Linked DNA regions of Rattus norvegicus. The protein of the gene in region 1 interacts with the protein of each later gene in a pairwise test. Links are inferred from orthologs where the notes say so. Each region holds a gene or a part of one and is shown in the gene's direction. Other genes may lie near its edges.

Region 1 (4,306 bases):
TACAGCGTTCTTCGGTGTGAAAAGCAACAATTTCAGAGCAGTTTAGATGTCTGTTAATAAAAATAGTGAGTAGCGTGTTGCAAAAATGACACTTATGTAAAGGTTTAGGATGAAATTGTCTAAGCATGTATATACATACATAAAATACAACATACAAAAGCACCAAAATACTGATTGCTGTGAAGGCTAGAATGAGTTAGACAGAAGATTGGGGAGAACACCAAAAACCATGAAGCACATCTGTGACGGTTTAATTTTTAAATTAGGTCATGCAACTATACCGGAACAGCAAATCACTTATGTTCATTGCAAATGGTGGCTGTTTGTTTTTATTCTGTGTTTTCTTTCATGTACCTTTCCCAAGTACAAATATGCTTTAAAACTAAAATGTTTAAAAACTAGCTAACATGAGCTGGGAGTTGACCGAGGAGCAGTTAGTGTCACAGGCTAGCCCTTCCTGTTGCATGCTTCCATTTTACCACACCAAAACCAGTGAAACAGCATTACAGTCCTTTTCACAGAATATGTATGCCATGCTCAATCTAGTTTCTGGCAGAATGTGCTAAGATACAAGATTGTGGTTTTTGGTAAACCAGGACCTCAGAACCAGGCAGGGAAGATGCTTTGTCTGACCTCCTGACCTCCTTCCTCTTGGTCAGTCCTTGGAGAAATTGTCATACTGCATTCATTCCTCCCAGGGAAAGTATGCTGGATTGCTTCTTTGCCTCTGGAACATTTCTGGACATGCATGGCACTTCAAACAAATCAATGTTATTCACAGCAGGGCAACTGTGTTCTCTACTCTGGCAAGTTCATCTAAGTTGGTCCAGTTTTTATTGTTGTTGTTTGTTAGTTTTTTGCTTGGTTTGTTCTGGTCTAGTTCTTGCTCATAGAGGAATGCTTCCCACATTCTGTACTTTCAGCTTGAGGAGGTCATCAGTTCCTCAGTAATGAACATGTTTTCCTCCTAGTAAGGAAAAACAATACAATAGCTCATTGTTCTGGGATGACCCCACCCCACTCCAGCAGTTATTTATAGATGTTTGAAAGTAACACCTAGGCGGGAGAGTTAGCAATGGAACTGGCCACCCAAGAATAGTTACCCTTAGCCACCCCAGTCAAGGTGCCTTACCAGTGCCCACAGGGACCCAACTTTAATTCCTTTCCCATTTTTGTTCCAGAAGAGAATGGAAGGCCTTCAGAAGAGCACATATGGAACTATAGTTGAAGGTAAGAAAACACCAAGGTCCTAAAGAGCTTGAGAACTGGAGGGAGTAACTGTTCCTTGTCCCACTCCAAAACAGGTGCAGATGCTCAGTTAAGATGTAGGGCGGGGGAGACGACTGGTGTTTGTCCTCCAGTTCTATTGTGTCCAAGTCATTGTTTTTTTCATGTATATAGATAATACACATGCACACACATATACATACATACATACAAATACACATGTAACACATATACATGTACAGACAGACACACATTCACACAGGCATACATGCTTACAAATACACATGTATATACATGCATATGCACACGCATGAGCATGTACACATACACACTCCACTGTAACACTGTGAAAATGTTTCTTTGACACTCATTCAGAGTTAGACAGGCCTGGAACTAAATTTTGAGACGTGCTCTTCCTTCATCTCCTCTCAGCTGCAAAAATTTTGAAAAAAATCCTTTAAAATGATTTCTTACAAAACACCTCCGAAAGTCTAAAGGAAATGAAAAACAAAACAAGCCAAAAAAACAAACCAAACCCACAGAGTAAAAGACATAAAGTAAGCATTTTTGCTTTCTGTAACACCGAGACTTGAACCGAGGGCCTCATGCTTGCTGGATGGGCATTCTACCACTGAGCTACACCCCAGCTTTCTACCCAAACGAGCGATCTTTTAGTCTATAACGTACTTAAAATTTGTTTGGACTCACAGGACAGCCCCAGATACTTATCCCTTCAATGCTGGTGAAGGGGTCCCTAGTCCCCCGCCCCACCCCACCCCCACACTCCTGTTCCCTGGGTCCCACCGGACCAATCAGAAGATCTCTCTGGCATGTCCTCTTTGTCTGCGTCTCAGTGTTTCTATCCATCTTCTCTTCCACCCTTCTCCAGCTCCCACTGTAGTGTCAGTTCCCAGATTTCCACCTGACAGTAACTGTCACCATCTCTCATCTCAAATTCAACTGCCGTTTTGCTTCCTAGCATATCCAGACAGCTCTGAATGTGAGTCACTGGGGGCTCTTCCACAGGCTGAGCACATTTAGATAATCTGTCTGGAGAATTGTGGGTAAGGAGGTGACTGTTCTGTCGGTCATGACTTCTCATCCGTCTCTGCCTCCTTCCAAACTCTTACTAATTTCATGACCAGTTTTCTGGGGATCTTCCCTGAGCATCTAATGGGGGAGAACACAGGACGTTTTCTTCAGAAATGATCTGTTTATCTTGGTTCAGATGGCACAGAGCCTTCATGCGACACTTCTACCCCTTGTCTGTGACTCCCAACAGGGACTCTGTGAAAGTCAAAAGTCACCTAAATTTATAGCCAAACAGTTAGGAGCATGGAGTTATGCCTGTTTTCCTGGGATGGAGGACCATGGCTTTGAGGAACTATCCACAAGGACCCATGACCTCAACGTCAGAAGACTCACTAAGGGAAACATAAACTTTCTCTTGTCTACAGGACAAGAAACCTACAGTGTAGAAGACTCTGGCCTCCTGAGGATCCTCCTGGTGGGTAAATCTGGCTGCGGAAAAAGTGCCACAGGGAACAGCATTCTCCGCAGACCAGCGTTCGAGTCCAGGCTCAGAGGCCAGTCTGTGACCAGGACCAGTCAGGCAGAGATGGGCACATGGGAGGGAAGGAGCTTCCTAGTGGTGGACACGCCCCCCATCTTCGAGTCAAAGATCCAGAACCAAGACATGGACAAGGACATTGGGAACTGCTACCTGATGTGTGCCCCAGGACCCCATGTGTTGTTGCTGGTGACCCAACTGGGACGCTACACAGTCGAAGATGCCATGGCTGTGAGGATGGTGAAGCAGATCTTTGGGGTAGGGGTCATGAGGTACATGATTGTCCTCTTCACCCACAAGGAAGACCTGGCAGATGAGTCCTTGGAAGAGTTTGTGACCCACACAGGCAACCTCGACCTGCACAGACTGGTTCAGGAGTGTGGGAGGAGGTACTGTGCCTTTAATAACAAGGCTTCTGGGGAGGAGCAGCAGGGGCAGCTGGCAGAGCTCATGGCCCTGGTGAGAAGACTGGAACAGGAGCATGAGGGCTCCTTCCACAGCAATGACCTCTTCGTTTATACTCAGGTGTTCCTTAGAGGTGGCTACAGTGAACACCAGGAGCCATACAAGTTCTACCTGACCAAGGTGAGGCAGGAGGTAGAGAAGCAGAAGAGGGAGCTGGAGGAGCAGGAGGGCAGCTGGATGGCTAAAATGCTTTGCAGAGTCACGTCCTGCTTGGACTGGCACATTGCAGTGTCTGTTCTTCTTATTGTTCTTGGTCTGACCCTTCTCATCACTTTAATTAATATGTACATTGGCAGGTGGAAATGAGTCTCTTTGGGTGAATCCTGCCATTATCCCTGTCCACCAAATTTCCCCATCTCCATGTTAGGGAAGCTCAGTCTTCAAATAATTTCACTATCATTTGACTCCTGTGCATGAGACACAGTAGAACCCTTCTAAATACCGTTAAGTAAATAAAATATGAAAGAAGAATGTGTTTCTCTCTTTGTTGAAGTTGTCAGGATAGATGATGGAGCAAGAAGCTACCATCATAAAGGTCTGGGGGCTTGCACAAAGGAGGACTCAGGAACTGTGCAGCAGTGGGTGTGTCTCACCTAGAGCCCCACTTCCTACAGATGTGATATTAAGAGGAGAAATGCAGAGCTTAGAGCAGAGTTATATTTTAGTCATAAGTTCACCCTGACCTCACGGTACCTATAAAGTCAGAACTCCATCATCACTCCACCCCTGAGAAAGATAAAGATGGTGTGCAGGAAGCAGAGGACTCTGAAGGTACAGAAGAGACTGAGGTTAGAGGCTGGGACGTGAGTGGGGACTGAGTGAAGAGGTTACAGGATCAGGGTGGGTCTTACACTAGAAAAAGCCGGGTCAGCAGTCAAGAAACACAGGAGCCAGAATGTCTATGATCAGAGATACAAAGGGCTTGGAAGACTGTGTAGGAGGTATAGGCCCTCGGCAGCACAGGCGGGCACAAGCCACTATGGTCAAGAGGCCATGCATTGACAAACCGGATGAGCAACAAATTTTGAGTTACATGTAATTTTC
Region 2 (3,590 bases), on another chromosome or scaffold:
TTCTTAGCAGGAAGGAACAGCTTTCTATCTGCAGGATGGGAGGAGAAGTGTTCCTCCATCCTCTCATGTTTGTGTCCCCAACTGACTTAAGGATATGAAAAAAATGCTTTACCAAGAGTGCCTCAACTCCTAGGCACATTCAGTCTACTGACACCTAAGAGGCTATCCCCCAGTATTGTAAAGCTCACTGTCTTTGGGGCCTGTTTACTGGCAGTCACTATCCCCAGCTGCCTTGGCATCTGAGTGATCACCCCTGATACTGAATTCCCACCATCTAGTTCTCCAGACAGATGGATTGTTTGATTAAGTGGTTTCCTGGGGCCCTCGGGAGGCTTCCCAGAAAGGAGTGGGTGTGGAGGAGCCATAGCAAAGAATCTATTAAGAAGAGACAAAAACACAGGAACATCTGAGACAAGAGAGGAATTCGGGTGATATTGCTAGCAAAGTGAAATTGAATACTAAGACTTAGCCTGCCACTCAGTGTCTGGATTTTGCCTGTGCAGTCACCATAACAACAAAGAAATGGTTATGTGCCTACTCTCCTCTTTCACCATCACCACCTCAGCTTCCAGCTAGAAGGTAAAGAGCCTTATTGATGGAATGGTCAAGAATGCAAGGACAAAGACTGATATGTAGACCCATAGGCACCCAGGCAAGCCTAGAAGCCACTTTACAAACAGTACACTTTTCCTGCTTCAAAATGTTCTTTTAAAATACTGGCCCTTGAAACGTTTATGGTCATTGGTGTTAGATGGGATTGGTGGGAAATGGGGATAACTGCTTGCTATTTATATCTGTTGTCCAGATTATGTTGACATGTACTGAGTGACTGCCCTTCTCTCATACTGAGATCTTTCAGGTGGAGTGCTCAATGACTGGTCTCGCATCACTATGAACCCCAAGGTGTTTAAGCTACATCCCCGCAGCGGGGAGCTGGAGGTACTGGTGGACGGCACCTACTTCATCTATAGTCAGGTAGAAGTGAGTACGGTCTTAGGCCTAACTCTTCTTATATCCAGGGTGCAGATATGGTGCAGGCCACCTAGGGGCACTGTGGAACAAGCCAAGACCATCCAATGGCTAACTTCTGGCAGTGCTGGGGAAAGGAGTGACAGATTTCACACTGGGAGGGAGTTGAAGGGAGGAAAGACCAAGGAACCCATTTCATTTTTCCCCTAGAAAAATATCACTGAAAAACTGTGTAAAGAGGCCTTTCCCACACCCTGCTGTCTGATCCCCTCTTGCAGGACCCCAGGCCCTCACTTCCCCTCTGAGTCGTTTGGTTCCACAGAAAGACCTGACCTTGCTCTAAGTTTTTAAGACTAAGTTTCAGAGCTGCAGAGACTCCTCCCCACAACACTGCTAGCTTGGGCGTGATAATGGACAGTGCTCCTGTGAACTTTCTCTCTACCTCAAGAAGATTTCTGACTGTCTTTCCTTCCTCTTTCTCCCATTTGTTTCTGTCTGTTTCTGTTGGTCTTGCCTCCTTCTTGCTATCATTCTCCTGACCTTTCTCCCCCTCTGCTTTTGTCCTTCTCCTGCCCTGGGCCCATTCCCCACAGGTCTGCCAGTGGCCATTCATTTTCATCCCTCATTCCGTGCCTCCATTGGGGCTCTCCTCAGAGCTGCAAGTACATAGGACTTGAGGTCAGGGTTTCCAGGAGGCAGGCAGTTAGCAGGCAGATGGACAGAAGGACTCTGGAATTGACAAATGGCTCTCAAGAAAAAGTGACTAGAGAAGTTGAGTTAACCAGTACCCGCCTGGCACACAGAGTATCCTTTTATTACTTGGTCCTGACCCAAAAGATGATGTGGCATTTAAATATGCTGCTTGTGAAGAGCCTGCAAAGTCATTTTTATGAAGTGATTTAAGGTGTCAAATGAAAGACAATCCCCACTCCTATGGGGCATGTGGGTATAATCCCAATATCCCACAAACTAAATTCCATTTGGTGGTGGTAAAAACATCAGAGCTGAAGGTCGGATGTGCTGGCAAATGGTGATGAAAGGTGGACATTAAATGTCTACACTCAGGAGAGGATCAGGAGTGGTCCGTGTGAGCTAAGAAAGTCTTCATGAGGCTAGGCCAGAGGCTCATACTTCCTCCTGGCCACAGAATGAAATTAGGCACCTAGGATTTGCATCCACTGTCTCATTTGTATAGGCCAGCTCCCCTTCTCTCGGGATCTGCTTCTTCAGTCAGCAAGAGAGGGGTCCAAGCTGTGCTGGGTCAGGGAAAGAAGCACAGGACAGAAGAGTACGCTGAGAACTTACGAAGCTCCTGTTCACAGAGAAATGGGAAGTCAGTACTGCGACCTCCCTGAGGCAGTTGAGCTTTCTAAGTCTATTCCGAAATTGTCTTTAGTGTGGGAACTGGAATTTGGGGTGTCCAGAGCATTGATTAAGCACCTAAGGAGTGCGAAGCACTGCTTCGTGCCAGGATTTTGGAGTGGAGCCTGTGAAATGGTACATAAGGCAGTTCTTGACCTCAGGCAGTCTGAAAGAAAGGTTTGCTCAGCTCTCTGAACCCATGGAGGAGGGGGAGGGCAGTGGGAACCTGTCACCCTGCTGTTCCTGCTGGCCAACAGGCACACTTTTGGGTGGCACTGCCCCTGCATGGGGTATACTGGCAGCTCATCTGAGGAGGATTTATCTGCTCACCAGGGGAGGGCCCCACCCTCTTTTTCCTCTCTCCCCCAATCCCTTCTCGTTGCCTCTCACCCAGGTGTACTACATCAACTTCACTGACTTTGCCAGCTACGAGGTGGTGGTGGATGAGAAGCCCTTCCTGCAGTGCACCCGCAGCATTGAGACAGGGAAGACCAACTACAACACTTGCTATACTGCAGGCGTGTGCCTCCTCAAGGCCAGGCAGAAAATTGCCGTGAAGATGGTGCACGCCGACATCTCTATCAATATGAGCAAGCACACCACCTTCTTTGGGGCCATCAGGCTGGGCGAAGCCCCTGCATCCTAGATTCTCCCTTTCCATCCTGCCCCATGCCCCTGCCCCAGGTTTGGGAGCCAGGACTCCCAGAACCTCTAAGTGCTGCTGTGTGTGGAATGAGGTATATTGCCGTTGCAGCCACAGAGAGAAATGCTCCATGCTATTTATTCCCCCGTGACTCCAGGATGACAAGGCCTACATGACTTCCCAGAATGACCTTGAGTTGCCAGTACAGTTGATGGAGCCCCAGGGTTTTCAAGAAGGAGAACCTTCTTAGGCTCCCTGTTGACTGGCTTATGGTGACTCCTCAACCCCTAAGTCCCTCATCAGATGTATCATTTGTTGCACTAAAATGAGGATCCAAGATAGTAGGCCACAAAAAACAAAGGTGCACTCCAGATTCTAGTGCTGATGGGGGCTGCTTCTTCTCTCCTGGCTGCGGGTGGCATTGGGTTGTAACTTAAGGAGAGGGTCAAGTCAGAAGAAGGCAAGTCCTTGTGGCAAAGACCTGGGCAATAACCTGCCAAGTATGTATCCTTGGTGGAAGAGGCATTCTTGCTGCATTGCACTAGAACCCACTAGAGGCTCAAAGAGAACTTCCCACTAAGGCCGAGGGGTATACTGTGGCAGCTTGCTGGACTCC
Region 3 (4,264 bases), on another chromosome or scaffold:
GCTGGATATGACACACCGAAGAGGGGGCAGATAGATGCCAGGAAGACAGATGAGTTGTGGCTGGGGCACACTGAGATCGTTGGGCCAACGGAGACAACTAACCCATACATGAACCCTGGCCCAAGTGTAGCTTATTTATTAACAAGATAACCCGTGAATGTATTCCTGGAAGAGTGGCCCAAGCTCAATTCAGGATCTAACCTGGAGGGAGGGGACAAGAAGTGGGGCTCCAGAGTGGAGCGGAACCAGAGAGATGTCTTGGGTGGCAGCCCTGGGGAAAGCATTCTCTTTCTTGGGCATCGAGGAGAAAGCTGTGAACAGATTAGGCTGTCCAGTGTGGGGTGAGGCAGGCCAACTGTACTAAAGTAATACAATAAACACATTATCAGCTGATGTTGGAATGGCCCCAGCAGATAGCAGCTAGTCCTAGACCTTGCTGGGGGTCTCGGACATTGTCCTAGCGGTCTCAAGGCCTGTACTTTTCCCATCCAAGAAGGCTGTAGTGGAGATTAAAAGTGTTAGTAGATGATTACGCTGGTTCTAATGAGCCTCTGGGGCTCAGTGCATTAGCAGCAGGGCCAAGCTCTCTGAAGTAAAAACAAACAAACAAAACAAACAAACAAACAAACAATACTGGATGTTGTGGGCAAGAATGTATTAAGAATTCACTGAGTGGGTGATGTTTGAGCTGAAAGGAGCCAGTCACAGATGTCCAGTGACAGAACATTCCAGACTAGAAGGACCAAAGTCTTGGAGCGGGGGACAAACCCTCTCTGTCTGAGGAACACCAAGGAGGCTGATATGGTATCACACTATGGATTCCGAATGGTTTGGAAGGTAGACCTGCCATGGTCTTGCTTTGCACAGCTGTGAAGAAGCAGAACAGAGTTCACTCACAGACTAAGGCTGCAAGCTGGAACGGCACCCTTCAAGAGTGAGCAACAGGCCTCCACATGGCCTTATGGAGAGGAGACAAGAGCCAAGACCGTTATGTCTAACTCTTAAGCCATTCCTCTGCATTTGTATTCTCAGTACGGTTGGCCAGGAACCCTTGTTCCTATTCTATAGGTAGAAAAGTAAAGGCCACTCTTTTTCCCCATGGTTATAGTTTAATACTAGAAATAGCAGTTTCTAATCCCGGTCTGACCACTGTATGGGTGCCCTTGTAGAGCTGCCAGACCCTTGGCATTGGGCTCCAGTTGCACCCAGTCCACCACCCCCAGTATCTGGTACTAGATGGTCACACAGTGGTGGGTGGTTGTCTCCAATTGCTGGGAGGAGATGGCTAGTCTGTGGGTAAAGGGTCTGAGAGAGAGGGATGGCTGAGCGGACCTGTGCAGGGTTCCTTTGCTACCATGCTGCATGGTGCGTGCTGAGCATTGGGATGAAGGCTCCCAAGTCTGGGTGTGTATAAAGTTGGTGTGGTTTTCCGAGAAGTTCCTTCTGTCCATGTGCTAGCAGAGGCTTGCCCTTGGCTGAGCCCCATCACTAAGTAGGTAGTTTAGGCCGGCCCATCCAGGTCACTCTGCCCCTTTTCATGGTTCAGAGCTGCCCTCTCTAAATATAGTTCAGGGAAAGTGAGCTCAGGCCTATTTCAAGACCAGGTTGGGAGGCAGCCAGGCCTCTCCTAGAATCTGAAAGAAGCCACTGCTGCCTTTGTCCAGTTCTGCTACTGGGCACTCTCATTGGGCCTCTGACTACCTACCAACTGCCATGCCTGAGGAGATCCAAGAAGGTAGGAGAGGGTGGCCACTGGGGAGGACAGGGCTCAAGTCCTATGGGTCAAGGAGAGACCTAGCTTCATGGGGAGAACCCTCAGTCTTTTCTTACCTCAGCCCTAGGGACCTACCCTATGTACGGAGAAAGAATACCTAAGGCTCCTCCACTTAAGGTCCTGGCTCAGGGAGGGGCTCAAAGCTCTCCACTTAGGAACAGGTCAGCTGTAGGCTGTGCCCAAGCAAGTGTGGGCATCTAGGGGGCTCCTAAGCAGCCCTTTCTAGAAGAAGCCAGGATTGGGATGAAGACTGGTTCCAGGGAACATTTGGACACCTGGCCCAGGGGACTATGAGGTAGAGAGGCTGTCCTACACCTCTCAGCCTGGTCAAGGCTGACACTTAGCTAGTCAAGTGCCTTTACCTGCTGAGCCATCCTGTCCCCCCTCAATATTTTATGCTGCAGAGAAAGGGCCTGCTCTCTACTAAGGGAAGGTGTTTATCTTTTTGGGGGGAGACGGGGAGACTTAACTGTAACACCTACCATGTGTCTTTTTCTGTAGCGAATAAAACATGTCCAAATATAAGTTATGGGAGAAGCACAGTGAGGAGCCAAGAGGAGGTTTAATGTGGCTTGGAGTCTACTGCCGGGGCTTAAGGACTGACAGCCTCGGGTTTTTTGTTTGAATTGCTTGTGAGCCTGGCAAGGGGCAGCTTCAAGCATGTCATAAAGGGCTGAGTTACTGTCCTGAGATGGGAGGGCCCAGAGGACCAACAGCCAGCCTTACCCAGTTCTCTGCTACACTGTTACCTAGGTTCCTGGCAGGCATCTGGAGCTCTTGTGGAGTGGAGACAAAACAAAACAAAGTAACAAACATCCAATAAAAGACCTTGGGGGGTTGGGGATTTTGCTCAGTGGTAGAGTGCTTGCCTAGGAAGCACAAGGCCCTGGGTTCGGTCCCCAGCTCCGAAAAAAAGAACCAAAAAAAAAAAAAAAAAAAAAAAAGACCTTGGTGGTACACACTCAGGAGGTACAGGCAAGCAGATCTCTGTGAGTTCAAGGCCAGCCTGGTCTATATTCTGAATTCTAGGCGGCCAGGTCTACATAGTCCCTGTTTTGAAAATTAATTAAGCAAACAAACACACCAGCAGAAAGTATAGTTATAGTTATTTAGAAATCACAACTATTTTGGTAGTAGTTGGAATGCTGAGGCAGAGGGATCACATGAATTAACCAGGTACTCAATACCAGTCTGGAAACTTGCTGAGACTGTCTTAAACAGGGGAGGGGGCGGGAGGAGGACGAGATGGCTCAGTAATTAAAAACACTTGCTGTAACCAGGAGATCTGAGTTCAGATCCCAGTACCAGGCGACAAGCTGGGTGTGGTCTTGTGTGCCTTAGAACCCCAGTGCTGTGTGTATTGGGACAGGAAGATAGGAAGGTCACTGGAGCTTGCTGGTTGCTGCCCTTGTCAAAAACAAACAAACAAACAAACCCCCCTGATTTCTGGACTTGGGAAGAGTCCCGTCTCAAGGAATAAGGTGGAGAGTAAGAGATGGGGCAGCTGCAAGCGTCTAAATGGGAGCGAGCATTCACCACGCACATGTCGCTAACACATAACAAAGCTGGGTAGAGAGAGAGAGAGACGCGCACATTTAATACCAGTAATAGGCTGAGGCGAGAGAATTTCGACTTTAAGCCTATCCTAGCTTAGGCAATGAGTTCTGGGACAGCACAGTGAGTCACTATCTCAAAACAAAACCAAATCTGAAATATAACCGCAAGGGAACCGTGGCCAGTGACCACATAGGCAGAACCTGTGAATGGTAATTACACCCGTGGTCAGCCTCCCCAGGCAGCAATCAAGGCAAGCTGTTTCTCATCTTAAATTAGCAAATACAGGTAAAGGTATGTGCATACAGGGTCTGGGGATGGTTCTGTAAAAGATTTGTCTAGCAGGTATGAAGACCTGAGTTCATTTCTCCGGGGACATGATGTGTGTGAGGCTGCCCCATGACATGCTCAGAAGCAAGACAAAAATCAGATGCTGTCTGTCAGTCTTTAAGTCTGGGAGGTAGACTGCAGATCACGGGGTATACACTTCTGATCCCAGGTCTGGTGAGGTTAAGAGTTCCTGGGGCTCCATAGTGAGCCTAGGCTGTTTGTTGAGCTCCCGAGCCAGGTCAGCAAGACCTCTGGCTTCTGTGCAGGCACAATGCACACAAACACACTTTTCCCCACAGTGGGATGCCTAATGGTGCGATGTTGTACTGCTGGGCTCTGGACAGGCCTTTTAGAAGACAGTTTTGATGATAGCTTCAAAGAGAACTCTCTGTTCTTGGGTCCAGTGATTTCAACTTCTGAGAAATGCCCTCAGTAACTTTCAGGAAAGTGGGGAAAACCTTCTTATTTAATGATGGATGTCCTGGGGGTTAATTCCACAGAGAATTGGAAACTACCTAAAATGCCCAGATAGCCTCAGAGGGAAGCCATGGGGAGGAGGCCTCAAAGTTGCATGAAACTGTGGAGAGAGAGTGGACTCCTGCCATG

What was found.
Region 2: the proteins of Gimap5 (region 1) and Eda interact in binary tests that used the Homo sapiens proteins (3 or more experiments, as listed by UniProt). The two-hybrid records come from large-scale screens. The link is inferred for Rattus norvegicus from reciprocal best matches to the Homo sapiens genes GIMAP5 and EDA.
Region 3: the proteins of Gimap5 (region 1) and Lsmem2 interact in binary tests that used the Homo sapiens proteins (3 or more experiments, as listed by UniProt). The two-hybrid records come from large-scale screens. The link is inferred for Rattus norvegicus from reciprocal best matches to the Homo sapiens genes GIMAP5 and LSMEM2.

The regions. Positions count from the first base shown.
Region 1 is NC_086022.1:79,028,185-79,032,490, forward strand, and holds the end of Gimap5 (GTPase IMAP family member 5), read left to right. Parts: intron 1-1,181; 5' UTR 1,182-1,187; coding exon 1,188-1,230; intron 1,231-2,509; exon of another isoform or gene 2,510-2,587; coding exon of another isoform or gene 2,588-2,684; coding exon 2,685-3,568; 3' UTR 3,569-3,733; downstream 3,734-4,306. UniProt on the Homo sapiens protein: Plays a role in T lymphocyte development and the optimal generation of CD4/CD8 double-positive thymocytes. Inhibitor of GSK3A, possibly by sequestering GSK3A in cytoplasmic vesicles and impairing its translocation to the nucleus.
Region 2 is NC_086039.1:69,513,732-69,517,321, forward strand, and holds part of Eda (ectodysplasin-A), read left to right. Parts: intron 1-850; coding exon 851-981; intron 982-1,512; coding exon of another isoform or gene 1,513-1,646; exon of another isoform or gene 1,647-2,715; intron 2,716-2,725; coding exon 2,726-2,977; 3' UTR 2,978-3,590. UniProt on the Homo sapiens protein: Cytokine which is involved in epithelial-mesenchymal signaling during morphogenesis of ectodermal organs. Functions as a ligand activating the DEATH-domain containing receptors EDAR and EDA2R. May also play a role in cell adhesion.
Region 3 is NC_086026.1:117,146,436-117,150,699, reverse strand, and holds the start of Lsmem2 (leucine-rich single-pass membrane protein 2), read left to right. Parts: upstream 1-1,399; 5' UTR 1,400-1,713; coding exon of another isoform or gene 1,714-1,735; intron 1,736-4,158; 5' UTR 4,159-4,261; coding exon 4,262-4,264.